4 linked regions of the Pelodiscus sinensis genome follow. The protein of the gene in region 2 purifies or fractionates together with the protein of the main gene of each other region. This does not show direct contact. Links are inferred from orthologs where the notes say so. Each region holds a gene or a part of one and is shown on either strand. Other genes may lie near its edges.

What was found.
Region 1: the proteins of SNRPA1 (region 2) and SF3A1 purify together in Homo sapiens (affinity purification with mass spectrometry; 6 studies listed by BioGRID and IntAct, counting the BioPlex papers as one, with this or other methods). This does not show direct contact. The link is inferred for Pelodiscus sinensis from reciprocal best matches to the Homo sapiens genes SNRPA1 and SF3A1.
Region 3: the proteins of SNRPA1 (region 2) and DDX46 purify together in Homo sapiens (affinity purification with mass spectrometry; 3 studies listed by BioGRID and IntAct, counting the BioPlex papers as one, with this or other methods). This does not show direct contact. The link is inferred for Pelodiscus sinensis from reciprocal best matches to the Homo sapiens genes SNRPA1 and DDX46.
Region 4: the proteins of SNRPA1 (region 2) and SF3B6 purify together in Homo sapiens (affinity purification with mass spectrometry; 5 studies listed by BioGRID and IntAct, with this or other methods). This does not show direct contact. The link is inferred for Pelodiscus sinensis from reciprocal best matches to the Homo sapiens genes SNRPA1 and SF3B6.

The regions. Positions count from the first base shown.
Region 1 is NW_027465935.1:507,816-515,776, reverse strand, and holds the start of SF3A1 (splicing factor 3A subunit 1), read left to right. Parts: upstream 1-4,952; 5' UTR 4,953-5,049; coding exon 5,050-5,112; intron 5,113-7,961. Other genes in the region: CCDC157 (coiled-coil domain-containing protein 157), read right to left, coding at 335-506, 2,651-2,922, 4,241-4,243. UniProt on the Homo sapiens protein: Component of the 17S U2 SnRNP complex of the spliceosome, a large ribonucleoprotein complex that removes introns from transcribed pre-mRNAs.
Region 2 is NC_134724.1:7,056,982-7,064,010, reverse strand, and holds the start of SNRPA1 (U2 small nuclear ribonucleoprotein A'), read right to left. Parts: upstream 3,007-7,029; 5' UTR 2,905-3,006; coding exon 2,823-2,904; intron 796-2,822; coding exon 648-795; intron 1-647. UniProt on the Homo sapiens protein: Involved in pre-mRNA splicing as component of the spliceosome. Associated with sn-RNP U2, where it contributes to the binding of stem loop IV of U2 snRNA.
Region 3 is NC_134727.1:28,815,028-28,822,900, reverse strand, and holds the start of DDX46 (putative ATP-dependent RNA helicase DDX46), read right to left. Parts: upstream 3,004-7,873; 5' UTR 2,861-3,003; coding exon 2,844-2,860; intron 124-2,843; coding exon 1-123. UniProt on the Homo sapiens protein: Component of the 17S U2 SnRNP complex of the spliceosome, a large ribonucleoprotein complex that removes introns from transcribed pre-mRNAs.
Region 4 is NC_134713.1:14,462,950-14,470,281, reverse strand, and holds the start of SF3B6 (splicing factor 3B subunit 6), read right to left. Parts: upstream 3,005-7,332; 5' UTR 2,874-3,004; coding exon 2,844-2,873; intron 1-2,843. Other genes in the region: PFN4 (profilin-4), read right to left, coding at 6,004-6,032.

The sequences.
Region 1 (7,961 bases), on a different chromosome or scaffold from region 2:
GGTAGCCAGTGGGTCCCAAGCCTTTCGGCATCACACCCTCAGGTGAGCTTACTCGAAGCTCACGCGTCGAAACGTGATCTGATCACGGACGGTTCGGCCCCTCATTGGTTTCGCAGAACCGATATAAAGGGGGCGGGGACCATTTTTCTGATCGGGGTCCACTGAAAAAAATCAGACGGGGGAGCCACACACAGGCAAAAAAAACCCCCCAAAAAACACGCACCGCAAGGTTCGGCGCTTCCAGATGTGCTGCGCGCTGGATCAAACAACGGGCCATAGACACGCCCCCGCTGCCCTGAAGCACCGCCCCCAGCGGTGCTTGGGGACGTCCTACCTCCGTCCCTCGTTGCTGACAAAGCGCTCCCAGTTTCAGCAGGCCGTTCCAGTACTTCCTCACCGCCAGCCCAACAGACATGCAGGGTCCCACGGCCCGGGAAGGGGGCACGGCTTGGTCGCTGAGGAGAGTCTCCACGTAGCCTGTGAAGCTCTGCAGCAGTAACAGCAGCCTTTTTTGGGGGGCGGAAACACAACACGACTTTGAGCGGCAGTGGGCTTTTTCACGACTGCCCTGCAAGTTAGGGGATCATCTAAGGGGGCCCAGGGTTGGTGTCGGGCAAACCAAACAGTGGTAAATCCTGCCAGTGGTTCCCAAACTTTTCAGCATCACGCCCCCTTTTTGATTTTTGAGAAACCCTCACGCCCTTTCCCACGCTCCAAAAATAGCACCAAGACTTGTTGAGTAAAAAAGAAGAAAAAAAAAGAAAGACCTTTTTAAGAGTAGAGCAGGCATTGCCCTTTTAAGGCGGCCATTTTGAAGTCTGCCCAAGCAGAGGGACGGACTGGGCTCTTTCTTGGAGGGGGAATGACGGGCAAACCCTACCAGTGGTTCCCAAACTTTTCGGCATCACGCCCCCTTTTTGAGTTTTGAGAAACCCTCACGCCCTCCCCTGTGCCCCCAAGAATAGCACCAAAACTTGTTGAGTTAAAAAAAAAAAATTGACCTTTTTAAGAGTAGAGCAGGCATTGCCCTTTTAAGGCGGCCATTTTGAAGTCTGCCCGAGCGGATGGATGGACTGGGCTCTTTCTTGGAGGGAGAATGATGGGGGGGGGAGCTGGGCCATCTCACCTTCCACTGGAATTTCTTCACGCCCCCCCCCCCTCTGGGGGCCACGTTTCCCAGTTTGGGAACCCATGAGACTGTTTTGGGGTAGAAATGAGGCAGGGCTGGACAGGCATGGGTGCATGTCCCCAGCTGTGGGGCTAGAGCAACATTCCTCTGAGTTCAAACACCGATCAATTTCACTGCCACAGGGACTTCATATTGGTCAGTTTCAGGATGTTCCCATGGTGCTACAACCATGGGGTTCGTGATCCACCAGGGGATCGTAGGGGACTGTTCCAGATTCACGTGACTCTAACACGCCAGACGCAGCTACATGGTCTGTACGACCGTAGGCTGCGTCTAGACGGGCAAGTTTTTCCACATTTTCCGCTTTTGCGGAAAAGCTTGCCAGCTGTCTACACTGGCCGCTTGAATTTCCGCAAGAACGCTGACGATCTCATGTTCAAATGCTTCTGCGCAAGAGGGCCAGTGTAGATAATGGGGTATTGTTTTGCGCAAAAAAGCCCCGCTGGCGAAAATGGCGATCGGGGCTTTCTTGCGCAAAACCGCGTCTAGATTGGCACGGACGCTTTTCCACAAAAAGTGCTTTTGCGGAAAAGCGTCCGTGCCAATCTAGATGCTCTTTTCCGCAAATGCTTTTCACGGAAAACCTTTTCCGGGAAAAGCATTTGCGGAAAATCATGCCTGTCTAGATGCAGCCGTAGTGTTTTCCCAACAGGCATTTCTGGAATTGGGGCTGTTCCCGGGCCAGTCTTTTAACCGTAGAATCCTAGGGTTGGACGAGCCCTTCAAGACACGCGTGGCCAATCCATGGCTTGTGAGCCTCGTGCAGCTCTTTCCCCCTTAAAGTGCGTGTCACCTCACTGGATTTTAACGGGAGCAGCCAGATCACTGCTGCACCCTTGGGTGGGGGGGGAGGTTGCCCCAAAGGGAACCATGTGAGGTGTCTCATGAAAGCTTCTGTTCTACTGATTCTGTATGTGCTATTCATGTACTTGTATGATATCTGTATGTGGAGTTATAAGCATGTACTCTGTAGGGATGCTGGAAAATTCTCTGTGGCCAGGAATGCTCAGCCAATGGCTATGCTAATTAGCAAGGCTCCAGGCTATGCTAATTAGCAAGGCTCCAGGCTATGCTAATTAGCAAGGCTCCAGGCTATGCTAATTAGCAAGGGCTGTGTCTAGACTGGCAAGTTTTTCGGCAAAAGCAGCCTGATGTGTCCTAAAAAGACTAAGTCTGTGTTTTTTCAAGGGGCAGTGACTTTTTTTTTTTTTGGCTTAATTTTGGTGCGGCTCTTCGTGTTATTTCCGCCGCTGATTCGGCTCTCTTTGTTCAATGGGTTGGCCACCCCGGCCTCAGGAGGTCATCAAGTCCAGCCCCCTGCCCAAAGCAGGACCAACCCCAACTCAATCAACCCAGCCAGGGCTTGGTCAAGCCGGGACTTAAACACCTCTAGGGACGGAGACTCCACCTCCTCCCTAGGGAACCCAGCCCAGGACATGAACAGTTCTTTCATCCTCGCACCTGTCAATCACTAGTTCCAGGAGCACGACATGGGAATGCTGGGTAAATTCAGGGTCGTTCTCCACATAGTCATACTGCTCCAGCAAAGCCACCAGATCCAGCTCGCAGGACACTTTATTGGGGAACTTCCAGGAGGGATAGCGCGCGGCTCCCGCCCGGGAGAAAACGTCGACGATGGCTCCTTGTAGGTCGGTGAGGTCCTTCCTCAAGCTCTCCATGCAGTTCGGATCGCCCAGCAGGTGCGCCATTCGGACCGGGCAGGAGGGGCAGATCTGCAGGAGGGGACAGATTCACTAGCTGGGCCCCTAGGGAAAGGGGGGCAGGTGTTTTACGGCTGTGGGTGCACGACAGGCCGTGCCCCTGGCCCGGCACACGTGTGCACGAGGGACGCGTGTGCTGCACGAGCACCAGCCCAGCCAGACATGGGGCCTCCCCGCCCCTGATCCCAGCTCCATCCCCACTCTGATCCCAGCCTCCCCTCCCACCCCGATCCCAGCTCCGCCCCACTCTGATCCCAGCCTCCCCCCCCGATCCCAGCCCCACCCCCCACACTGATCCCAGCCTACCCCCCAATCCCAGCCCCGCCCCCCACTCTGATCCCAGCCTCCCCCCCGATCCCAGCCCCACCCCCCACACTGATCCCAGCCTACCCCCCAATCCCAGCCCCGCCCCCCACTCTGATCCCAGCCTCCCCCCCAGATCCCAGCTCCGCCCCCCACTCTGATTCCAGCCTCCCCCCCAGATCCCAGCCCTGCCCCCCACTCTGATCCCAGCCTCCCCCCAGATCCCAGCCCTGCCCCCCACTCTGATCCCAGCCTCCCCCCCCAGATCCCAGCTCCACCCCCCACTCTGATCCCAGCCTCCCCCCCAGATCCCAGCTCCACCCCCCACTCTGATCCCAGCCTCCCCCCCAGATCCCAGCTCCGCCCCCCACTCTGATCCCAGCCTCCCCCCCAGATCCCAGCTCCGCCCCCCACTCTGATCCCAGCCTCCCCCCCAGATCCCAGCCCCGCCCCCCACTCTGATCCCAGCCTCCCCCCCAGATCCCAGCCCCGCCCCCCACTCTGATCCCAGCCTCCCCCCCAGATCCCAGCCCCGCCCCCCACTCTGATCCCAGCCTCCCCCGGCCCCACAGCAGCTAACTCAGCTGGCAGCTGTTCAGCGGACAGAACCATCCAATCCAAGGGGGGGCACTCCGCTGCTTTACACCCCCCTCCCCCCGCGTGGAACAGTCCATTTTCTTCCCCTGCGCAGCACCGCCCCCTGGAGGACGGGGGAGCCAAGCGCGGGCAGAGCGAAGGGCAGCGGCGTCAGCAGGGCTACTGCGCATGCTCCGTGCCTCTCGCGCGCTCCCGGCGCCCCGAAACCATGGCGACCTCAGCCCCCCCTCCCCCCGCGCATGGTACTGCCCACCCGGCGGGGGCTGAGGCCCCGAGCCAGGCCGCGCCGCCCGAGCGGGGGTGGGACCCCGGGGATACGGGCGCTGGGGCGGGACCCACCTGCCGAGCCTCCGCCCCCCCGGCTCGGAGCGGATCCTTCGCGCCCCCGTGGCCGCGCGCCTCGTTACCACGGCAACCGGGCGGAACGAACCATCTGCGCCGGAAACTGTTCGCCGCGCTTCCGGCTCCCTCTCCCCCGAGTGGGCCTGCCCCACGGAAGGCCAGCCCCTCCTCAACTATTCTGCTCGTCTTTCACGGGTTTGGTTTCCCCCAGTAGGGCGTCACGAGAGAAGCGCTCCCCCCCTCCCCGTTCTCTCAGTGGAATATTCCGAGTTGGCTCCCTCACAGTGAGGCAAGCCCGGCGGGCTGCGCGCGCACCCACTGCGTGGCTCCCCCCCACCCCACTGGTATCGCCGCCCAGCGGACACCCCCCCAGTTCCGGAGTAGAACAGTCCCCCTGGGCTGCGCGCGCAGGCTCTGCGTGGCTGCCCCCACCCCACTGGTATCGCCGCCCAGCGGACACCCCCCTAATCCCGGAGTAGAACAGTCCCCCTGGGCTGCGCGCGCAGGCTCTGCGTGGCTGCCCCCACCCCACTGGTATCGCCGCCCAGCGGATACCCCCATAATCCCGGAGTAGAACAGTCCCCCTGGGCTGCGCGCGCAGGCTCTGCGTGGCTCCCCCCACCCCACTGGTATCGCCGCCCAGCGGACACCCCCCTAATCCCGGAGTAGAACAGTCCCCCTGGGCTGCGCGCGCAGGCTCTGCGTGGCTGCCCCCACCCCACTGGTATCGCCGCCCAGCGGACACCCCCCCCTAATCCCGGAGTAGAACAGTCCCCCTGGGCTGCGCGCGCAGCCGCTACGCAGGGCGAGGCAGCGCGCGCAGCGGCCGCCATTTTGGGTCGGTGTCCGCCGGCCGCTCGCTCCCGTCGCCCCAGGCCAGGCCGCTGAGGAGGCGCCATGCCGGCCGGGCCGGTGCAGGCGCTGCCGCCCGCGCAGCCAGCGCCCCCCGAGCCCAAACAGGTACCGGCCGGGCCGGGCCCGCACCCTCCCCCCCCCCCGCGCGGGCAGGCCCCGGGGCGCGGTGCATGCTGGGAGGGTGACCCGAGCGCGGCGCGCCCGGCCCCGCCCTCCGCGCCTGGGGGGGGGGTCTGGATCTGCCCCCCCCGCGCATGCCCGTCAGATCCAGACCCCCCCTCACAGGCACCGGGGGGGGCAGATCCAGACCCCCCCTCACAGGCACCGGGGGGGGCAGATCCAGACCCCCCCTTCACAGGCACGGGGGGGGCAGATCCAGACCCCCCCTTCACAGGCACGGGGGGGGCAGATCCAGACCCCCCTTCACAGGCACGGGGGGGGCAGATCCAGACCCCCCTTCACAGGCACGGGGGGGGCAGATCCAGACCCCCCTTCACAGGCACGGGGGGGGCAGATCCAGACCCCCCCTTCACAGGCACGGGGGGGGCAGATCCAGACCCCCCCTTCACAGGCACGGGGGGGGCAGATCCAGACCCCCCCCTTCACAGGCACGGGGGGGGCAGATCCAGACCCCCCCCTTCACAGGCACGGGGGGGGCAGATCCAGACCCCCCCTCACAGGCACCGGGGGGGGCAGATCCAGACCCCCCCTTCACAGGCACGGGGGGGGCAGATCCAGACCCCCCCTTCACAGGCACGGGGGGGGCAGATCCAGACCCCCCTTCACAGGCACGGGGGGGGCAGATCCAGACCCCCCTTCACAGGCACGGGGGGGGCAGATCCAGACCCCCCCTTCACAGGCACGGGGGGGGCAGATCCAGACCCCCCCTTCACAGGCACGGGGGGGGCAGATCCAGACCCCCCCTTCACAGGCACGGGGGGGGCAGATCCAGACCCCCCCTTCACAGGCACGGGGGGGGCAGATCCAGACCCCCCCCTTCACAGGCACGGGGGGGGCAGATCCAGACCCCCCCTCACAGGCACCGGGGGGGGCAGATCCAGACCCCCCCTTCACAGGCACGGGGGGGGGCAGATCCAGACCCCCCCTCACAGGCACCGGGGGGGGCAGATCCAGACCCCCCCTTCACAGGCACGGGGGGGGCAGATCCAGACCCCCCCTTCACAGGCACGGGGGGGGCAGATCCAGACCCCCCCCTTCACAGGCAGGGGGGGGCAGATCCAGACCCCCCCTCACAGGCACGGGGGGGGGCAGATCCAGACCCCCCTCACAGGCACGGGGGGGGGGCAGATCCAGACCCCCCTCACAGGCACGGGGGGGGGGCAGATCCAGACCCCCCTCAGGCACGGGGGGGGCAGATCCAGACCCCCCTCAGGCACGGGGGGGCAGATCCAGACCCCCCTCAGGCACGGGGGGGGCAGATCCAGACCCCCCTCAGGCACGGGGGGGGCAGATCCAGACCCCCCTCAGGCACGGGGGGGGCAGATCCAGACCCCCCCTCACAGGCACGGGGGGAGGCAGATCCAGACCCCCCCCCTCACAGGCACGGGGGGGGGGCAGATCCAGACCCCCCCCTCACAGGCACGGGGGGGGGCAGATCCAGACCCCCCCCCTCACAGGCACGGGGGGGGCAGATCCAGACCCCCCCCCACAGGCACGGGGGGGGGGGCAGATCCAGACCCCCCCCCCACAGGCACGGGGGGGGCAGATCCAGACCCCCCTCTCACAGGCGCAGGGGGGGGGGGCAGACCCACAGGTCGGGCCTGGGCAGGGCTCGGAGCGGAGCTGCCAAGGCCAGGGGGGCCAGGGACACAGCAGATCTGGGTCCAGAACAGATCTGGGGGGCAGGAAGGGGTTGGGGGGGAAGCGGTCCTTCTGTGCTGGCCTGGCCTGTAGGTTCCCCCTGTGCCCCAGTACAGGGACGTGCCCCCCACTTTTGGGACCTCTGGGAGTTCCTGAGCACGTGGGTTAAATCTGTGTTTCTCAACCTTTCTCCATAAAGTATCCCTTTAAAAAAAACTAAACATTTTCAGGGGGGACACACTTTTTTCCCCCCCACCATTGCAACACATTTGTTGCAACAACGTCATCGGCGCCGGGCGGGCGATGACGTTTTTGGGTGTAAAAAGGGCAAAACGAATCAAGCGCTGTCAAACTGAAAACCCGAATTCCGTTTTCTCCAAATGTCGGTGGTGACGTACCCCCAGACTTCTCTCAAGTACCCCCTAAGTCCGGGCTTCCCAAACTGGGGGGCGTGAAGAAATTCCGTGGTGGGGGGGGCCCATCAACTCCTCCCCCCCCTAAGTTTTGCTGCTATTTTTGTTTTTCGGCCAGGTCAGTTTTCTTTTTCTTTTCTTTTCTTTTCTTTTCTTTTCTTTTCTTTTCTTTTCTTTTCTTTTCTTTTCTTTTCGCTCAAGTTCTGCTGCGGGGTGGGTGAGTGGGAGGGTTTCTCAAAAATCAAAAACAGGGTGGTGATGCCGAAAAGTTTGGGAACCATTGCCCTAAAGGGACTCATACCACTGGTTTCGAAACACTGGGGTAACCGCCCCGCCAGCCGCTGGGAGAGCATTCTCTGCCCCGGGCGCGCGATCCTGGCGCGGCTGCCCCGGGCGTGCAGTCATCTAGCGGCCTGGCTCTGGCCATTGGAGAGTCGTAGGCTGGCGATATGCCAATGCGGGCAATGTCATACCTCATGAATAAACAGATCCGGGTCGGTCTTAAAGCCACCCAAGTGTTTGTCCCAGCGCTCTAGTTTTCTCCAGAGGGGCACTGACCACGGTGTGTGTGCGTACTATTGATCCCTCTGTCACCTGGCCCCCGCTAGGGGGTGCTGTGCACCTGGGGCAAAGGATGAATTCAAAAAAGCAGTTAATTAGATAACCATGAATATCTCGGCAGTTACGCACTGCCGACTCTGCAGTATAAAGCTTTAGATG
Region 2 (7,029 bases):
ATAAAAACCTGCAGACACATTTTAACCCTCAAATGCAATACATGTACAAGGGGTCACTTGGTTTGGGAATCATTCACCTTGCATCAAGTAAAACAGTTTAAATCTTTATTTTGTTCCTGTAATTACCTCTGACTTGTACCCTCACTTACCACTGTCCCAAACTTCCTGATCATGTTTACATTTTTCACTGATCTGAATGTAGGAATGATAAACAAAAAACTACTGAATCTCGGCACACTTGACCAAATCACAAAGCCCAAGCCTTGGTTTTCCTGTCCATAAAATGAGGATAATATTTATTGACGTTATCCAGGATTTAAAAGGATTGGTGCTCATAAAGCACACTGAAAATGAAGCAAACTACAATGGTTCTCCATAACTGTAACATGCTGCATTCTTCCATTAAAACAAATCAATGATCATATGCAGAGCTCGACAATTACGGCAATCTACTCGCCCATGGCGAGTAGATTTTAGCCTGGCACGGCGCTGCAGCACAATCAGCGTATGCGTAGCACGGTCTGCGCATGCGCAGTGCGCCAAACAGGGGCTCGCTGCCACTTGTCAAGCCCTGATCGTATGTAAGTTGCAGAACTGCAATGATACAAGCAAACAGCCAATGCTGAAAGCTTCCACGTGCCACCTACCATATCCTGTTGTTATTCATCAGTAACGTTTTCAGCCTCTTCAGCAGAGGGAACCCATCCAACTTGCGGATCTCATTGTCGGAGAAATCAATGGCATCGAATTGGTCCAAGGTGGCACCCAGGTTCTCAATGACGGGGATTTTGTACCCTGCGGGGAAAGCGTCAGACCAAGGTTAAATAGAGTCGGGGGGGAGGAAAGGGGGCATTGGGGTGGAGTTGGGCCATTCAACAAGGGATGCAGGATTCCCAGGTTAGAAGCAGCATGTGACATCACTGTCTCCCTCATGAATCCAGAGTGAAGCCTCCCTACTTCCCCCACTCTTCCACCCCAGCACAAGCTAGGGATGTCAGCAACTAGTTGAGTATCCAATAAGCAAAAAGCTTATCAGGTAGTCAAGTAGTGATTAGGGATGTTAAATTTAGATTAATTAATTAATTGAATAGTTGATGGGATTTCCATCTACTATTTGATTAGTTTATAAGGGTGCCTTTGCCTTTGAACTGAAGCAAGAGTCCAGTTCAAAAGCGGAAGCCCACCAGGGAGCGCTGGACCAGAGCACTCACCCGCTGGCCCTGCACACACTGCAGCATCTGAGCCATTTCAAAAACAGAATTGCAGCAGAAGTGGTGTGAGCAGAGATTCTACCGTTTCCCGCTGTGCCTCTACCTCACCTGCCCCCCACCCCCCCGCAGAGAATGGTGCTGAGGCAAACTGGCTTCAATTCCCCCCCACTTGCTGCCTCTAGGAGAGGCAGTGGAGGGGGGGGCAGCAAAGTAGGAGCTGGTGTTGGGGGGAGCTGGCTTAAAAGCTGGTTCCTCACAGCACCATCTCTGGGGGGCAGAAACACGGTGGGGAAACAGCACGAGTAGGGACTGAAGGAGTCGCACTCACCCTGGCTCCCACTGCGGCACTTCAGCCTGTGAAATGTAGCAAGAGCCCCATAGCGCCGCAGTGGGAACACAGGGCGAGTGGGGACTGCCTGAGTCCCTATGCACCCAGTGCACCCTGCTGTGTCGTGCCCCGCCTCCCTCCACCCCACTCCACAGCCTCTATGAGAACCAGGGCCGTTCACCTCCAACAGAGGCTGCTGGATTCAGCACCAGGCAGGCCCGAGCAGTCCCAACTTGTGCTGGTCCGATACTGCGCCTCTGCATTTTAAATGGAGCAACAGCCCAGCAGCTCTTGCCACATTTAACACGCAGAGTTGCAGCACAGGTGGCTCCTGGAGCTGGCACGAGCCAGGACTACTCCGTCTCAGCTGCAGCCGGCTCCCGGTGTGATCCCCGCTGCGGCTCTGCACACCCGCCCTATCGACTAATTGTATCGACTAGGCCAGTGGTTCCCAAACTTTTTGGCATCACGCCCCCCTTTTTGATTTTTGAAAAACCCTCACGCACCCCCTCCAAATAGCAGTAAAACTTGTTGAGGGGGGAAAAAAACTGAACAGGGCAGCAAAACTTGACTGGCGGGGGCGGCTGGGTCACTTCGCACGGCCCCCTGGAATTTCTGCACACACCCCCAGTTTGGGAACCCCTGGACTAGGCCATTAGCCAGGTACCCAAGATGTAAAATTGTCAGCACAAAACCCGCCCCGCTACAACTCCCCCCACATACTCCCGCCCCACACCTGACCCACCCCCCACATACTCCCGCCCCACACACTCCCGTCCCCACCCCACACCTGACCCACCCCCCCACATACTCCCGCCCCACACCTGATCCATCCCCCCACATACTCCCGCTCCCGCCCCACACCTGACCCATCCCCCCACATACTCCCGCCCCCCGCCTGACCCACCCCCCCGTGCCTCCGCCCCACACTCCCGCCCCCCACCTGACCCACCCCCCCACATACTCCCGCCCCCGCCCCACACCTGACCCATCCCCCACATACTCCCGCCCCCGCCCCACACCTGACCCACCCCCCCACATACTCCCGCCCCCGCCCCACACCTGACCCATCCCCCCACATACTCCCGCCCCCGCCCCACACCTGACCCACCCCCCACATACTCCCGCCCCCCGCCTGACCCACCCCCCGTGCCCTCGCCCCACACCTGACCCACCCCCCCACCTGACCCACGCTCCCGCCCCCCCACACACACCCGGCCCACCCCACGCTCGGCCGCGACCCGAGGCCCCTCCCCGGCGCGCGGCTCCCGGGCGGGCCTCACCGCGCAGATCCAGCTCGCGGTCGCGCACGGCGTTGGTGTACTGCGCCGCCTGCTCGATCAGCTCCGCCGTGAGCTTCACCATCCTGCCGCGCGCCCCGCACGCGTCCCGCCGGGCCTACAGCGCCGAGCGAGCCGAGCGCCGAGACCCCGAGCGGCACAGGCCGAGCGGCCGAGCGCCGAGCCTCGGAGCGCCGCCTCTTGGCCCCGCCTCCCGGCGCCATAGCGACGGAGGCGGCTTCCCCCGCCCTTCAGCGAGGAGTTCCCCCCCCCCCCCAGACACACCTGCCCTTCCCCCAGCCACAGGGTCAGCTCCCCCCTTCCACTGCCCATACAGCCAGCTCCCCCTGCACTCTGTGGGGCAGGTGCATAGAAGGGCAGTAGTGGGGGCAAAAGATCGATCTGGCTTCAAGATTAAACTAGATATCGGCTACGTCTACACGGGCATGATTTTCCGAAAATGCTTTTAATGGAAAAGTTTTCCGTTAAAAGCATTTTTGGAAAAATCGCGTCTAGATTGGCAGGATGCTTTTCCGCAAAAGCACTCAGACTAGATGATCATAATGGTCCCTTCTGACCTTAAAGTCTATGAGGTGCCCCTCGTAAGGCAGGGACACGGGGCTCTGTGGGGGCCCTGGTCAGTGCAAGGTGCTGCTGTGATTAACAGTAGGCGGAAGGAGACGGGAGCTCTGCTCTCTGATTGTAATTTCAAGTCACACCAGTGAAATGTGAGAGCTGGGGAAACACAAGACAGGACTGTGCAGCACTTTAAAGACTCACAAGATGGTTTATTAGGGGATGAGCTTTCGTGGGCCAGACCCACTTCCTCAGATCAAATTGTGGAAGAAAATTGGCATGACCCTATATACCAAAGGATACAATTAAAAAAAAAGTGAACACATATAAAACTGACGCTTCAGATTTAAGAACAGAGGAGGAGCGAGGGGGGAAGGTTTGCCAAAGAATCAATGCACACAAAACAGACAACAATCAGAGCCACAGGGCCATAGCCATAGCGCTCTGCTAATCATGCTCCCTGCACAGCTCTGCTCTGTATGACTTTCCCTGAAAGCCGTCTGAGCTGGTTCTGTCAATCAGGCTTTCTGCAGAAGTAGTGCCTAGGAGGGCCACCTGTAGGCCTGCATCCTGATTAGATTTCCAGAAGTCTTTTTTGGCCCACCACATTCAATACACAGTCATCTGAACTCCTGAGGATGCATTGTGTATTTTTTTGTCAGGTGTCTTTCCTGTAAATGCAACAATGACCAATTTTACAGATGATCTTTAAAATTGGAGGTGTGGAAAATAGGCCAGTCAAGCGAACCAAACTGCAAACGGAGATGGAGAAATGAGCTCAGTGGGGAATACAGGATAGGAGGCAAGATTTTGTCCTGTTAAGTGTAAAGTTTTGTGCTCACAAAGAGGAAATAACCAGTATAGAGACAGGGGCATCTTACATATAAACTCATGGATATAACCAGGTAGCCACACCTAATCCATAAAAGCTACTTTATTTTCCTTCCTTATTTCCTCCCTCCTAAAATCTCACCTCCCTAAATAGCCTTTATTTTTGTAATGTACATAAGAACGGCCGTACTATGTTAGACAAAAGGTCCGTCCAGCCCAGTTTTCTACAGTGGCCAATGCCAGATGCCCCAGAAGGATTGAACAGAACAGGGTATCATCAAGTGATCCCTCCCCGTCACCCATTCCTAGCCTCTGATAAACAGAGTCTAGGGACACTATTCCTACCCATCCTGGTTAATAGGCATTGATGGACCTATTCCATCAAAAGCAGCCCAAATGATGTCAGCAGAAGCCAAGCTGAGGGAGCATGGGGTACAGATCACAGCTAGAGGATCTCTGCATCTTGGGGTCTTCAAAGTATTTGAAGGCTTCAATATCTGAGATATAGGTGAGAGGATTATTCTAGGAGGGGTGGGTGAGATTTTGTGGCCTGCACTGTGTGGGGGGTCAGACTGGATGATCATAGTGGTCCCTTCTGACCTTGGAGTCTATGAGTCTATGAGTCTATGAGTGGATAGATGAGAGCAGAAGGGACAGGTAGTGCGCAGAGCATTTCATTTTGTCAGTGCTGTCTTTGAAGTCCCAATAATTAGTCAATGAAAGCCCAGAAATTCAAGATTCTTGGTCTTTATTTTCGTGGTAGATTCATTACACTGGGGCTTCTTTCAAATAAGATGAACATTCTGATTAAGGACTAATCCAACATATGGTCCCATCCTAAGGCAGCTAGTGATGCTGTCTTTGTGTGGCTCAGTTAGCACTAGCCAGCCCTGTGCTGCAGAGGCAGGGAGGAAGGAAGAGAGCTAGAAGAAGGAATGAGCCTTGAAGAAACAGCAAATTAAAACATCCAGGAGGGAGGGCTGAAAACCCACAGAATCCATCGGGGGAGTTTCACATCATTGGGGAGGTGTGAAAGCTTTGACTGTGGCTAAATTGCAGACATGGAGCTGAGAAGGTTTGGACTCTCCCAACCAGTTACAGGTTTTGCTGTGTGAACTTGGCTAAGTTATGGGCAACAACATGATGAACAATGGCCATCTGGACTGTGTGGCTTAGTTTTTAGGTGTCCAACCTGAGAGTGGCATGAGGGGTTGAGCAGCTGAACCTCTTGTTGACTTCAGTAGAAGTTGTAGATGATCAGCACTTTGTAAAATTATCCTGAAATACAGGACACAGAGTCTTTGTCTACACTGCAGGGTTTTTGCACAAGAAGCTTTTTGTGGAAGAGATCTTCCGCAAAAACTTCTTGTGCAAAAACACATCCACACCTCAAAAGCACACTGCAAAAGCAATGTGCTTTTGCGCAAGAGAGCATCCACACTGCATGGATGATCTGGCACAAGAAAGCTCTGATTGCCATTAACAGAATGGCCACCAGAGCACCCGTGCTTTTTCTGATAGGCTCTTTTTGCTCAAGAAACCTCTGTGGAGCATCCACACGTGCCTTTTGGCACAAGAGCTGTAGCGCAAAAAGGAGTTATTCCTCATGGGGAGAGGAATAACTCTACCGGCAAAAGCCCTCTCTCCTGTCAATGTACTGTATTGTTTTGCGCAAAAACCTTGTAGTGTAGACATAGGGTACGTCTAGACTACCAGGTTTTGTCGACAGAAGTTTTGTCGACAGTATCTGTTGACAAAACTTCTGTCGACAAAGAGCGTCCAGACACATTGAGTTCTGTCGAAAAAGCAAGCTGCTTTGTCGACAGAACCCTGTAGTCTAGACGCAACCCTACAGGCAATAACACCTTCTGTCGACAGAACTCTGTCGACAGAAGGTGTTATGCCTCGTAAAATGAGGTATACCAGCGTCGACAAAACTGCTGAGTTCTGTCGACGTTATGTCGACAGAACTCATCGGTAGTGTAGACGCTGGTATAGTTTTGTCGACAAAAGTGGACTTTTGTCGACAAAACTCAGTAGTCTAGACACACCCATAGACAGAGCTTTCTTGAGAGCCCGCACAAAACTATAGAGTGAATTCCTCCAGACACTAATCACCAACTTCACCATGTGCATTGCTGTAACAAACATATAGACAGATGTGTATATAAGAATCCAGAAAAACAAACACTCCACTGCATACACTTGGCCCCGATGGGAGAACAAACAGGACATATATTAGTCAGGTTGCCTAATGCTTTATGGATGGTGCTCAGACTTTATAAGTGTGGTGTAAGAACTTTTACCGCATAGAATAACTCCAAAGTGTCTTAAGGTGAGTTCTCCAAAACTGAGTTTCTCAGCCTGCAAAATGAGGATGGGCAAACATTTATCTTATACAGGGAAATGGATTTTGGAATTGTATTTTGGAAAGCAGTGGTGTAGGAAAGGACTTGGGTGTCATGATGGATAACCAATTGACCATGAACTAGTACTGTGATATAGGGATGTAAAATCCTGTTTAATCAGTTAACCACTTAAATGGCCTCCTGCCCATGGTATGGCACAGCAGGCCTGGCCAGGCAGGAGTGGTTCTTCACCTGTGGCACCGTGAGCCTAGCCAAGCTGGAGTGGCTCTTGACCTGCAGTGTGGTGAGCCCAGCCGAGCTGCAGTGGGCCTGGCCATGTTAGAGTGACCCCCACCTGTGGAATGGCACAGCAGGCCTGGCCAGGCTGGAGTAGTCCTTCACCTGTGGCATGGTGGGCCTAGCTGGGCTGGAGTGGCTCTTGACTCGTGGCATGG
Region 3 (7,873 bases), on a different chromosome or scaffold from region 2:
CGTTCTCGATCTCTACTTCTAGATCGTCTGTCTTCTCCACGTTTTGCTCTTTTGTCAGATGGAGATCGACTTCTAGAACGGCTACCAGATCGTCCACGTGATGTGGAGCGCTTCCGATAATGCCTATGTAATTGCACATTTACAATAAAAAAGTAAAGATGTAAAGGAGAACACTTTGCAGATTATAGGTACTGAAATCACATTTAGAACAAAAACCATAAAAAGGAAGGGCAAGGAGGTTTTTTTGTTTTTGTTTTAAGATTACAGAAGTCTTCCCTGGTCTTGCATAACGGAATTAGTACACACACACACATGTCCCCTATTGAGATATTGAAGATAGCTGGATTATTTGCTATATATCATTGAAATAATCCTAATGAGGCTTCACTACAAAAGTCAAGCTTTTTGTGATAGCATCATAATCTCAGGAGGGGTTTACTATTGAGCAACATCAATTTTATGTGCAGGAAAAAGATTAAAACTGCATTTAAAAAAGTCTCAGACAGTCTGCCTCAGTTTATAGCTCAGTTCCACAGAGATACTATCAAACGCCAGTCAAAAGATTGTGTACAAATGTGAGCCTGTGTGGCGTAATGGAAAGGGCACTAGATTGAGAATCAGGAGACTTAAATTTTATTCACAGCTATGTTAGGGTACATCTACACTGTGGAGCTATTTAGGGATACCAGAAGTCTCTCTAAATAGCTACTCTGCATTTATTGAAGGAGCCTGTTATTTCGAAATAGATTTCGAAATAATGGGCGGCTTATTCTGGCATCCCAATGGTTAAGGGGAATTTTGAAATAGCGAGTTATTTTGAAATTTGGCACTGTGTAGACAGCACCAAATTACAAAATACGCTATTTTGAAATAGCATCAAAATAAGCTACGCAATATGCGTAGCACAAATTGCGTAGCTTATTTTGAGCTAAGGGTACTCTGTAGATACACTGTGTCTGCTGTGTCACCTTGAGCAAGTAACTTCTTCACCTCTTTGTCCCTCTCTATTCCCTTCCAACCTCTTCTCAGTTCTGTCTTAGACTGTAAAGTCTCTGGGAAAGAGACTATCTCGGCAGACATTTGTGTAATTTGCAATGGAGCCTGGATCTTAGCTGGAGCAAGTGCTCCCCTCATAAAATAGGGATATAACAGTATAACCATTTAAATGGTTAACCCTCAGTTACTGTAAATGTTTCACAATGGCTCCCAGCCCGCTCCCAGGGAGCCAGCTGCCACCCCTTGCTGCTGGCTCTGTATCATCGCTTGCAGTGTGGAGCAGCATCTGACTCCCTGGGAGCAGGGCTGGGAGATGGTACATGGGAGTAAGGATGTTAAGGACTAGTCCAGTCCACTAGTCAATCCTCCTGCTTGCTGCCTCTATCTGATGGGGGGGGGGGAGGAGGGAGAAGAGAGGAGAGGGTACTTCAAAGTGGCAGCGCCACAAGGAGCCCGGGTAATGCTTATCGGTTAACCATTCAAACAGTTCCACTCGTACACCCCTGCTGGATTCCAGAGTGTGGGTTTGTCTTCACTGAAGAAAAAGAAGGGGGGGGGGGAGGGAGGAAGGTGCGCTCATGACAACATAAGAGCTACTTCTATAAAATCCTAGTAGAGGTACCACAGGTAGTTTTTGTCTTGATAGTATAGCAAGTCAAAATGTCAGATCTATATTCCTTCCGACCTCTGCCATTTGGACTAACCTTCACCAGCTACACCCCCCACTGGGAACATGCTCCACAAAGGCGACATGTCTCCCAGGCAGGGTGAACACTGAAAGACGCAAGTGGACAGGTTGGCTGGAACAGATAGGTACAGGGTGTTGGCATTTCTAGTCCCCAGGAAGGAGATGCCAGGAATGCAGAAGTATTGTGGGAAGTGCTGGCTGCTTAGCCTTGTGAGGAGAGCCTGAGAGGTGCTGACTGGCTTACACTGGCCATGTTTGGGTCCAGTGTCATGCCAGTGGCGAGCAGATTACATCCCGGAAGAGCCGGCGCAGAGCAATCTGCACATGTGCAGAACCGCACAGCTGGCGAGCGGGGTTCACCGCCACTTGGCAAGCCCTGTTCATGCCCATCAGTGTGAAAGAAGATATTTGCATATATATGCCACCACTCTTCAGGTACGGCCCTCAGCATGTGCTGAGAGTATCATTGTGGCCCCCAGGGGCTTCCACAGTTGAATAGCCCTGAGCTACAGCAAAACAAAAACAGCAGTGCCGTGTCTCCATTAGGGTCTCTGCATTTACAGAGATGATGCACTTCAAGGACGTTAAAAATCAGCACAAGCCATTCAGAGACGTTGATGGGTTTGAATCCCAACAGTGTTACCCATCGTTTGGGTGCACGAGCCAGCACTTTGTACCCCTCCTCCCGCCCGTAGGGCTAGAAACCAAGGCAGCCCCGTAGCTTGCTTGTTTGGGGGGGGGGGGGGGGGGGAGGAATATATTTATAAATATATAGCCGGAGTCTGAGGAGCATCTGAGCCGGGAGCGGGAAGCATTAGAAACAGGGGCCTGGGCCGAGCTGGGGCGCCGAACAATCGACACAGCAGCAGGGCGAGCTCGCCACTCGGGCCTCGGCCGGGCCGCAGGCGGAACAGCCGTGCGAGGCCGCCCCGCTGGGAAACGGGCAGGGGTGTGGGGAGGTCTCCGTCGCTACCCCCACAGCCTCGGCAACGGCCGGCTCTGCCCTGCCGCGCGGCCCTCCCTCACGCACCATCCGGAGGGAGCCCGCTCGCCCGCGCCTTCGGGCCTTGCGCCCAGGCGAGCCTCCCCTCAACGCGGCCCCTCCTCCTCCTCCCCACCCCCAGCTCTGACAGCGGCAGGGCCGCTCCCGCCGCCTCACCTGGACTCTCGGCCCATGGCTGCCCCAAGCGCGCGGAGCAGCGGCGGCCTGTGGGATTGAGCGAGACCCAGGAACCGCTACGCAGCTGCCGCCATTACGGGCCCGTAGCGCGGTGACCAAGGCGAGGAGCGCTGCAGAGCGGAGCCGACAGGGGCCGGCCGAGGGCTACAGCGCCCCCTGGCGGCTGGAGGCGGGCAGGGCCCCCTTAAGCCCCGCGCCAGTGAGGGTACGCGGAGCGCTCCTGCACCGGCAAAGCTCCTTCTCGCACCGAGCTGCAGCAGCAGCAGTATCGCTCGCTGCCACGGCGCTCAGACCTCCGACGAGCCCGCGGCCCCGGCCAAAGTCCTTCGCGGAGGCAGCTGGGATTCGGAGCAACAGCTCCAAGCGGGCTCGGGTGTGGGCTGCACCGGTCACGTTTCTCATCGGCAGCCATAGCGCAAACGCCGCTGGTGACTCGCCCCCTTTGCAGCGAGCGGGGAAATGGGAGTGTCTGCTCCGGCTCTGCGCTGCCAGGGGTGGAATGAGAGAGGAGCGTCCTCATCTTCATTCCTCATCCCACAATAATTATCCCTTATAAGTCCCGAGGGCTTAACGTCCAAGAGCACTCGAGCCTAGCACAGGTGGTGTTCCCCTCTCCTACTATGACCTGTGCTAGCGGCCTCCGCGGCTACATCTCTATTACCTTTTACGAAAGCCTGTTCTACCACGGTTTATTCTCGCCCGTGGAGAAAAATGCCAACCCTACGCAACCCCAACAGCATGGCCAGAGAGCTATCCAAACATGGATATTGGACTATTCAAATATGGATATAGCTTTAGTCAACCCTACAATTAAGGGAATATTGAGTTAAAAGGTATAGTGTTGATAAAGTTATTAGAGTGTAGTGTGGGAAAGGAAGCTGTACTTACCTAAAAATAAATGAAAAAGTGTAAACGCCCAGAAGAGCTATCATTTAGAATAGTCTAACTTGGAAAAATGCAATACAATTACAAGTAATCTGAATTCTGTATTCTTAGACTGCACAAATATCACCCCAAAGAGTGAAAGGTAAAAGTAGCCAATTTTTTCAGAATATTTAAAGCTAAAGGGTAAAGCATCTCTCAACATGCTAGAGAATAATTATAGAGCATTTTCACTTGAATAGACTAAAGGGACCCAATTATGACTTCCCTCTCTATTTCTTTGCTATGGTCTGAAACCAAAAAACATTTGCTCTAGATAAAGGACTGAAATTGTATCACACCCATTACTAGCCCAGATTAAAATACCTGTTATTTTGTGCATGTAAATAAAAAATTATATTTTGAACACTATAGGAACTAAAATTAACTCAAAATTAGTTAGCCCAATGAAAACTGCACTTGAAAATTGCCAATTTTTTCCCTCTGCTAGTGCTACTTTTTACAGGTAAAAGTTATAATAACCAAAGTTTTACTATAGTAATAATTATATTATGAGAACTAAAGCAAGGCACTTGATCAGTCCTGTGCATTCACAGTAAGGCTGTAGAGATACAGATTAGAATTTTTATTTATGTATTAAAAGTAATTTTAAATTACTACTGAAGATAAATCTGTTTTACAGAGCAAAATATGAATCTAAACTAACACAGCCAGCCACTTACAGCTGCATGTGATACACCTGGTACAAACATAAAAACCCTTCACATGCAACAGGCCTAAGATATCAATTAACAAAGAAGTGTTTATAAATGCAGAAAGTTTTGAAAAAAAATATTGGAATTAGGAAGATTCACCTCTAAGTACGCAAACATTTATACATTGAGATTATTCAGTCGCATTCAAATTTAGGTTTTGCTCATGCAATCAATTCAGATTACTTTTTAAATAAATTCATATACATGTAATGAACACCAATTTTGTTTACTCGGTAATCTGTGTACTAACCTCATGTACTGTAATCTAACACATGTACATTTATGTACAATTAGCCCCAAACAATACTTAGCATTTACAGAGTTTGCAATCTTTACAGAGTTTATAAATATATTAATCTATACAATATCCTATAAGTAACCATAAGTTTCCCCCTACAAACCATTACTCAGGCAAGTAGTTGATATCTGCTGTGGGCTTATTAATGTAATTGGGATACCTGTACAAACACAGTTTGCAGAGTTGGGTTCTCTTTCTCCCCCCATTCCACAGATGGGAAAACTGAGGCAAGGTCATTCAAATACTCAATGAAAGCAACAGAGGGAGTTAGTATCTGAGCTGGGATTACAGCTAAAGAATTTTTGGCTCTTGTGCTCAAATTAAACAGTTTACTAATGTAGGACTGTGAAATTTAGCTCTTTTTGATTTTCCTTATAGAACTGGGAACTTGTTTAGAATATTAACAAATCATGAGATTAATAAAAAGGATGTCTTCCCAAGCACAGTCAAGCCATAAGAGAAGGCGGTAACAAGCATAACTTTAATGCACTTAACAGAAAACAACCAGTGTAGAAATACGGAAACATTAAACAGAATTGTGTACATGAACACAGAAAATGACATCATGGAAACTGAATTCATCCTTGGCCAATGAATGAAAGAACTTCATCTTATAAACGTTTGCCCTATCAGTTCTACATTTCACTTGGCAGCATTATGGGTATGTCTAGACTGCATCCCTCTGTCGGCAGAGGGATGCAGATTAAGCAGGTCGACATTGCAAATGAAGCAGGGATTTAAATATCCCGTGCCTAATTTGCATAAAAATGGCCACCACGTTTTGCTGACAGCACTTTGTCAGCAAAAAGTGGCAGTCTAAAGGAGGATCTGTCAAAAAAGAAAGCCTTTTTCGACAGATCCTGTAAACCTCCTTGCAGGAGGCATAAGGGATCTGTCGAAAAAGGCTTTCTTTCTAGACAGATCCCCCTCTAGACTGCCACTTTTTGCTGACAAAGTGCTGTCAGCAAAACGTGGTGGCCATTTTTATGCAAATTAGGCACGGGATATTTAAATCCCTGCTTCATTTGCAATGTCCACCTGCTTAATCTGCATCCCTCTGCCAACAGAGGGATGCAGTCTAGACATACCCTATAAGTCGGACAAAAGTCTTCTCTTCTGAGTCAACATTTCCATATTAAGAGTCAGAAGCCATGTCTTCACTACAGGCTGGTTCAATGGGGTTGTGAAGAACACAGCAGGGGTTGATTTACTGTATCTAGTATAGACGCGATAAAATGACCACCAATCACTCTCCTGTTGACTCTGGCATTCCACTTCAATGAGAAGTGAAAGGAGAGGTGACAGGAGAGTGTCTCCAGTAGACACAGCACAGTGAAGACACTGCAATAAGTAGATATAAGTATGTCTACTTCAGCTACACTATTAACGTAGCTAAAATTGTGCAACTTAGATTCATCCCTTGCAGTACTATAGACCAGCCCAGAGCAATATTCCTTCTGCGACCTGTGGAAAAAAAATCCGTCTTAAATCATTTCCAAGTGATAGGAATGCAAAAGAAGTAGAATGAATAAAGAATAATAATCTGTATATCAATATGCTTTTCTAGTATTCTGATTGAACCTTTTAACATGTCTACATTTGTGCCGAGACAAGGTAATCTCTTTTATTGGACCAAATTTTGTTGGTGAAAGAGACAAGCTTTCAAGCTACCCAAAGCCTCTTCCACCAAAAAAGTTGGTCCAATAAAAGATATTCTCTCACCCACTTTGTCTCTCTCTAATATCTTGGGACCAGCATGGCTAAACTAGCATTGCAAACTGCATTTGTACACTCAGATCTAAATTGCAATAGTTTACAGTCTAACTCTAAATGTCTACAACTGGCTGCCCAACAAAAATGATGGTAATCCAAAAGAACTGAATATAGTGTAAAATCAGAACACAAGATTCTTTGTTGTGCCACAGACATATATAACAATTGGCTCAGAAATGCAGAATTAAAATTATAAAGCAAATAATTTTAGCTGAGAAAAACTGGGCAGAAAAAAAGTCTTGTTTACTTCACAGGCATATAGCCAGATAGTTTTGCTTCCTAACTAAAAAATTACTGTAGACAAGCACCAATAAAACTACTGATCCTTCCAAACTGAAAAACCAGTATTGTTGGATTTCATCTTACACCTTGAATAGTAAGCAGATAAGCTACATGGTGAAATTCAGCAGGTTCAAATGCAGCAGAAATCATTGAAGATGGCCAGTACGAAGGGGAGACTAGCTCGTAATACACTTCAGATAATCCATTCCTTCCTCTCAATATGTCTCTTTTTTGTGGGATTGAAAGTAAAACTACAGCTAGCTACTTCTCTCTAAAGAGAGAATAAAATGTATCTGCCTGGCAGCCTCCTAAATCCCTCCTGTCTGGTTTTACACCTGCTCCATAATAGGTATCAGTTCCCCCCCTCACACACTCATCTTTATGTGGAAACAAACTCAAAACATGGAGAGAAGAGCATTTTTTCCATTGTCTGTTTCAGTACTTAAAATCTCAATAAGTACAGCTATTGTGATTTATTTGGAGGGCCTTCAAAACAGTGTAGAACAAAGGAACAAGCAAGTCAGTCAACATCCAAAGGTTCTGGTATGCTGTTATTCTGTTTATAGGCAAATGTCTTCAGTAATAAACAAAAGGATAGAAATACAGAAAAATACATACATAGTCAAAGTTTATGTAAGAAAACAGAAAACAAACATACATAGCCCAGGGTTAATTCATGATTCACCAAAAGAGCACAGACATGTATGATACATTCGGAGCACTGTTTGAGGCATGGGCTTCTTGGGTGCAGCTTTCACTGTATAAAGTGAACTTGTAATCAAGGGTTGAGATGAAAGCATGGGTAAAACTAGGGTTAGGATAACAAGATAGATTCAAGAGCTGCCAAATGGTCAGGGAAACATTGTGAAACTAACAATTTATATTACTTCTAGAAGAATGATATTAGTAAGACAACAGGATTTTTTTTTGCTTACTTGTCTCATTACTGTTTCCTAACTTGAAATAAGTCATGACTATAAGAAGTTATGCAGAAGGGATGAAGACTTCGACAGAGGAAG
Region 4 (7,332 bases), on a different chromosome or scaffold from region 2:
CCCTGGTCTGCAGACCAGGGGGACGGGGAGCAAAGCGGCGGAAGACGCGGGCAGCGGGCAGCCCAGACGCGTCTGGGCTGCCCGCCGCCCGCGTCTTCCGCCGCTTTGCTCTGCTTTGCTCCCGCTCCCCCTGGCAGGGGGACGGGGAGCAAAGCAGAGCACAGCCGCGGAGCACGCGGGCGGCGGACAGCCCAGATGCGTCTGGGCTGACCGCTGCCCGCGTGTTCTGCCACTTTGCTCCCCATCCCCCTGGTCTGCAGACGCAGACCAGGGGGACGGGGAGCAAAACAGAGCAAAGCCCCGGAGCACGCGGGCAGCGGACAGCCCAGATGCGTCTGGGCTGACCGCTGCCCGCGTGTTCTGCCACTTTGCTCCCCATCCCCCTGGTCTGCAGACCAGGGGGACGGGGAGCAAAGCAGAGCAAAGCCGCGGAGCCCGAGGGCAGCAGGACAGCCACGGCGCATCTGGGCTGTCCCGCTGCCCCCGTGCTCCGCGGCTTTGCTACGGACGCCTGTGGTACAGCAGCTGGGGCGCTGCCGGTTGGTCCCGTAGCGCCGCTCTGGGCACTACGGGACCAACCCAGCAGCACCCCAGCTGCTCTGCCCCAGGCGTCCTGATTCAGACACTGCTGGTCAGTTTCAGCAGTGGCTGAATCAGGACACCTGGGGCAGAGCAGCTTGGGTGCTGCTGGGTTGGTCACGCGGCGGCGCTACTGGACCAACCCAGCAGCACCCCAGCTGCTCTGCCCCAGGCGTCCCCAAGTCAGCCGCTGCTGAAACTGACCAGTGGCTGACTACAGGAAGCCCCTGCCCGGGGCTTCCTGGAATCAGCTGCTGGTCAGTTTCAGCAGCGGCTGACTTGGGGATGCCTGGGGTTCTTAAGTTGAATCTGTATGTAAGTCAGAACTGGCGTCCAGATTCAGCCACTGTTGAAACTGATCAGTTTCAGCAGCGGCTGAATCTGGACGCCAGTTCCGACTTACATTCAGATTCAACTTAAGAACAAACCTATAGTCCCTATCTTGTACGTAACCCGGGGACTGCCTGTACTTGTAGTTCTATTTTAATGTAATTTAATAGCTGGAAACCAGGAGAGTAGCACATGGTGACCAGCCAGCTCTTTGTGGACTACAGACATAGGCACCAATCCCAGCCCCCAGATCACCCACTCAAGAAAAAAGTGGGTGTTCCTCCCCTTCCCATCCTCCAAAATCTGTTCAGTGGTGTGTATGAGGTGCTGGGGAGGGGGGTGAGGAGCAGGAGGGGTGCACTCAGAGGAGGGATGGGGCAGGAAGAGCTGGGGACTTGCAGGAAGAGGTGGAGTGGGGGAGGAGGATTGGGGCACAGTGGGGATTGAGCCCACCATGGAAACTGGGGAATTTGGTGCCTCTGATCACAGACTACATTTTGAGACCCTATGGTCTAGAAGTATACGTAGATTAACAGAGACTGGAGTCACAAGGGACTACTATGATAATCTAATCTGACCTCCCACAAAACACAGCTCATAGAATGTCCCCATTAAGTCCTATCTGAACTAGAGCATACCTTCTAGGAAACTATCCAGTCTTAATTTTAAAATGGCTACTGATGGGGTACGTCTACACTGCAACACTATTTTGAAATAACTAGCTCTATTCCAAAATAACTTAGTCTGCATCTACACAGTAGGCAGTAATTTCAAAATAGTGTCAAAATACTGTAAAGCTGGAGGAGGACTTCTTACTCCAACTCCAGTAACCCTCCTTGTAAGAGGAATAAGGGAAATTGGAGGAAGTGTGCTCTATTTTGAAATAAGTGCTGTGTAGATGCTCCCTATTTTGAAATAAATTGCTCAATTTGCATAGCTTATTTCAAATTAAGCCCTGCAGGGTAGATGTACCCATGGAGAAGCCATCACAATCTGTGCTACACTATTCCAGCATTCAAGTCTGAGGGCAGGTCTACACTACTGCTTGTGTTGATATATTTTTATGTTGTTCAGGGGAGTGAAAAAGCCACCCCCAAGAGAGACCAATTACACCAACACAGCACTGTTGGCAAGAAGTGCCCTCCCACCAACACAGCTACTTACTTTTCAAGAAGGTGGGGTAATGATGTCAATGGGAAAGCTCTCTCCTAGTCGCACAGAGCCTATTCACTAAAAATGCTGCTTTGGTGCAGCTGCACCACTATAACGCTTCTAGGGCAGCACAGCCCCAAATTTGGCAAGTTTAAGAGCCAATGGTTGTATAGTTGGTTTCCCTTTGCTTGTTACACTAAAGAGCCTAGTATCAAATATTTGTTCCCCTTCGGGGTGCTTACACTCTGTGGCTTAAATCACCCCTTCACTTTGCCTTTATTAAGGCTAAACAGATGGTGCTCAAGTCAACGAGCGCAATTTGGGATCTTTTTCGACCCTTTGCTCATTTCCACTGACCTGCTCCAAAATTTCTCTGGCAAAATGTCCAGTCTGGAGGCTCTGACTTGGGGCTTTCGAGGGGTCATTTAAAGTCTCTGCCTCTGTGCCCGAGCAGCACCTCTCCGCTAGCTAGTGCTGTGCTCTCCCCCGCAGTGTCGCGATAGGAGGGTAACTGGGGGAGACCCGAAGGGCCGTGACGGGCAAGTCGGACTAGGTCGAAGGGCCCCGCAGGCGGCGGAAGTGCTGTGGCGGCCCCGGGTTAGGCTGCACGAGGCGCTGCACGGGCGAGTCACGCCCGGAACAAATCGCCCCGCCGCGGCGCCACGAACCCGGCCCCTCCGCCGCCCCCGGTCGGAGCTGATCCGCGCGGGGCCGAACCGCGGAGGGAGACGGTCTGGGCGCCGGACAGGTCAGCGACACTTCCCCCCCCGCCCCCCACTCACGTTGGCGCGCTTAGCCGCTTGCATCGCCATGGTGCCGGGCGGGTCGGGGGCCTTCGCCTAGCCGGGAAACAACGGACGCGTCCGTCTCCAACAGGGGGGGCAGGCCCGGATGCTATCCCAGCCTGCACCGCGGGCTCAGCCCGCGCGCAGGAAGTGACGAGTGCTAACCGGATGAGAGGAAACAAACCTGACAGTTGGGGGCGGGAAGTGACGAGGGGAGTCATGTGACTTTGCCGTTTGCGGGGCGATGATAACTGCCTCCTGCAGAGGCCGCTCCCCCAGTGGCGGTGCCGTTAGTTAGAACGGGGGCGGGGCAACCTGCGGGGGCGGGGTCCGCGCGTGTTTCCCGCGTCCACGCGCAGGGAGGCCGATGCGGCCCGGGCAGTTTTTTCCTCCGGGCGTTACGGAAGTGACCCCGCGCAAAGCCAGGCCACGCGAGGGGGGAGCCGCGTGCTCCCTCTGCAGCCGCGCTAAGCGCTGCTAGTTCGCTCGGCACCGCCTGTGCTGGCTCGGCCTGCAAGCGCCCTTAGCAACAGCGCCCTAGCCTGGAGACGTGCGGCCCACTCCTCCTGGCTTCCCCTCACTGCTCCTACCCAGCTCACTAGTGCCCCCCTCCCCATCGTACCCTCCTCCAGTGCTCCTCCCCCCCAACACCTGACCCACTCGTGCCATTCCACCCCATGGTTCCTCCCCAGGGGTGACCCGTGATTATAGGCCGACTCGGCCGTCACCTAGGGCGCCCCCTTCAACGGGGTGCCCGATGATATCACTCCATTGACGGCCGTGCAGCCAGGGGCGTTGATCGCACATTGCACTTAGGGCATGCCAGTTACAAGATCATGCCTAACCATGCCAGTTACAAGATCAAGAACACATATTCCTGTTCATTCAGAAATATAATTTATGCCATCATGTGCCTAAAGTGTCTGTCTGCTATGTACATTGGACAGACGGCTCAGACACTTCGCCAAAGAATCAATGCACACAAAACAGACATAAGACTCTCTCACAGAGAGAAAGCTGTTGCTTGCCATTTCAGCCAGACTGATCATTCCTTTAATAACCTTAAAACATGCATAGTGCTTCAAAGAGACTTTAACTCCAGACTTCAATGAGAAGCTTCAGAATTGTCTTTCATGCTTAAAGTTGACACTTTATGTATGGGTTTAAACAAAGACTCTAATTATCTCACCCATTACAAAGATAGCTTCCCCAATTATCACCCTTATGTCATTACCTCACAGAAACTAACCTTCCCCCCTCACCCTCACTCTATTCTAAAATTTGATTTGTCAATTTCACATGCGTTCATTTTTTTGATTGTATCACTTTGGTATATATGGTTGTGCCGATTTTCTTCCACATATTGATCTGAGGAAGTGGGTTTGGCCCACGAAAGCTCATCACCTAATAAACCATCTTGTTAGTCTTTAAAGTGCTACATAGTTCTGTCTTTTGTTTAATCCATCTTAGGTTTTGTGTAAGTATGATAACCCATCAGTTCTTACCACAGCACTGTTCAAAACAGCATAAAGAACCATACATGCCAGTCTGAGACTAGAGAAATGTGTATCTTACTTCAGTTCACTTCTAACTAACTTCCCAACATTCAACCCTTTCTGAACTGGGTTAGAAGTTTTGTCCTAGCTGCTGTTGTTGATTGACATCAAGGAAACTAAACTCCTCTTGATTTATACACTTCCCTCCCCTCCAGGATTTTCTTCTCAGTGCTGCCGCTTGCTGCCATTACTCTCCACAAAATACATCATTTAATCTATCAATTTTAATGTTATACTCTGCTGGATCTGTATATCCTAAATTGGTACACGCATCATTCTTGTATGTGAACTTAGAAATATGAAGTGTGAGTCTATTTATAGTTTTATATGTGCTAATGAGAGCTGTTTCTAGTGCCCTGGAAGCCTAATGACTAGTGATCAACTCAATGGTTTGTAAAAAGCCTGGCTTGTCCTGTAAGTGCAAAGGCGGTTGGACTAGAAAGACCTGTAACCTTGACACCTGGTACTGGAAATCCATTCTGAACCTGGATTTTTTCCATGGGAAGAGTGGATACCCTGAGGAAAAGTCAATTTAAGAAATGGGAAGCAATTCCCTTTTGTCTACTGCCTGGCACTCCCCAAAAAAGGGCTGGGGACCCAAGTATGAGAAAAAGAATTTGTCATTGACTTGAAGATTATGCCTAAAATAAGAGCATCTCTTTAGGGTAAGAGTGTACGTGCAATAAGTTTCTTGGTGAATTAGAACTAGCTATATCTTTTCATTTAAATGTAGTACCTTACTTTGATCTGGCTGTTTTCACTTGCACCATTTAAATCCTACTCTTTATACTTAATAAACAACTTTTGTTTACTATCTGGCCCAGTGTATATAATTGTTACCTGGAGAGAACAACCACTGTGCTTATCTCTCTTTCATTGATAAAGGGAGCTTACTTGATGGCTACGTCTTCACTGTGAGTTCTTCCGGCAGAAAATGTGCTAATGAGGGACTCATTAGCATAAGTCACAATCTCATTAGCATATTTTCTGCCCTTTCTTTTTGCACAAGGGCTTTTTGCACAAAAAGAAGCAAGTGTGGATGGGGTTTTTTTTGGCACAAACCCCCCCATTTTGCACAAGATCCTTATGCATCCTAAAGCTTCAGAGGGGTAGCCAAGTTAGTCTGTAACAGGAAAAATTAAAACAAACAAACAAATAGTCTAGTAGCAACTTAAAGATTAACAAAACATGTACATAGTATCATGACCTTTCATGGGCACAACCCACTTCTTCAGATGACTGGAGTGTTGGAAGTCCCTCCCTCCGGGACTATCTAAGAGGTAACAGTTTCAGAGTACAGATGGTCAAAGAAGGGAAGAAGCCAAAAGACTCAGGGGTGCCAAGGTACCATTCCCTCTGTCTTGCAGGTATAAATTATTTCATTTTTACATGTACAGGGGCACTGAATACCCTGAGCAGGCATTAGAAGAAATGGAATATTTAATGAAAGGCAACAGTAAAGCTTTTAGAGAAATCAAAAAAGCTTAGAATATTGCAGAATAATGGATATTGTTTTGCTTGCTTAGATGTACTTCATTACAAACTGGTCTTCTAACGCACCAGTCTTCATAAGCTTGATCAATTTTAAGTTGTTTTCAGATTCAGTTTTCCTTATCTCTGAAATATTCCGCTATGGGGGGAAAAACAAAACATTTTCTTTTAAAATATTTACAATAATGGAAATGCTCCAGTTTAAAGACATACAATTGCCACAAGAATCACATTAGCCCTTTTTTGCCCCAGCATGACACTGGGAGCTGATGTTAAGTTACTTGTTTACTATAACCTCCACATCCTTTTCAGAGTTCGTTCTTTCCAGAATACAATACTGGAATGTACTATAATTGAATGAAAGGCATCATAATCTAGCTCACATATTAGCATTTGCATCTGAATACATAAAATATTGGAATACCTATAGTTATTGAGTATTAGCAACTCCAAATATAGCTTCAGTGTGTCATTTGAAATAAACAGAATCTTTATTATATAAGTTTGTGGCCTTAAGAACCCTAAATACTGCTCCTTCAGATCAGCGAACTGCAAAAACTTTAAAGATAATCATATGCAGAAATCTCTCCTGGAATTACATAATGCTACTTTGTTTTCTCTGGAGGAAAAGATTAAACATAATAACAAAAGGGCAGGCCAATCCCCACCCTCGGCCGCCAAATCCCTAAGGGTGTGTCTACACAGCAGGGTTTAATTTGAAATAAGATACACAAAATGAGTGACATCAATTGCATAGCTTATTTCAAAATAGCTTATTTCAAGTTCTGGTACTGTCTATAAGCACTTATTTCAAAATAGAGCATTCTTCCTCTGACTTCTCTTACTCCTTATAAAATGAGGGTTACAGGAGTTGGAGTAAGAAGTCCTCCAGCTTGACAGTATTTTGACATTATATTGAAATAACTTCTAGCTGTGTAGACGCAGACTATGTTATTTCGAAATAATGTTAGTTATTTTGAAATAATGTTGCTGTGTAGACATAGCCTAAGAATCTGACCTAGCAAACACAAGCTAAGTCTACACTGCAATCTCAGATGTGACTATAGCTTGAGGGGACACACCTGGATGTACTAGCTTTAATTTAGCTAGAAGTGAAGCTGTAGCAATTCAGGTTTCAGCACAGAAGTCTGCGAGTAGTTATCCATGGTTCTGGGCAAGTTTGTACAGCCCATCCTGAAGCACACATTGTTGCCACTTGATATATCTACTCCAGCTGCAATCACAGCTATGATTGCAAAACAAGCATACTCTGTGGGCTTGGCTTCATTAAAATATTACAGCATCATAGCTGAGCCACTGTAGTGTTTCAGTGTAGACGTTACCTATGCTGATGGGATTCTGGGAGGGAGTCTCCCATTGGCATTAGTAATCCATATTCTGGAGAAACAGTAGCTAGACTGATAGAAGAATTCTCCTGT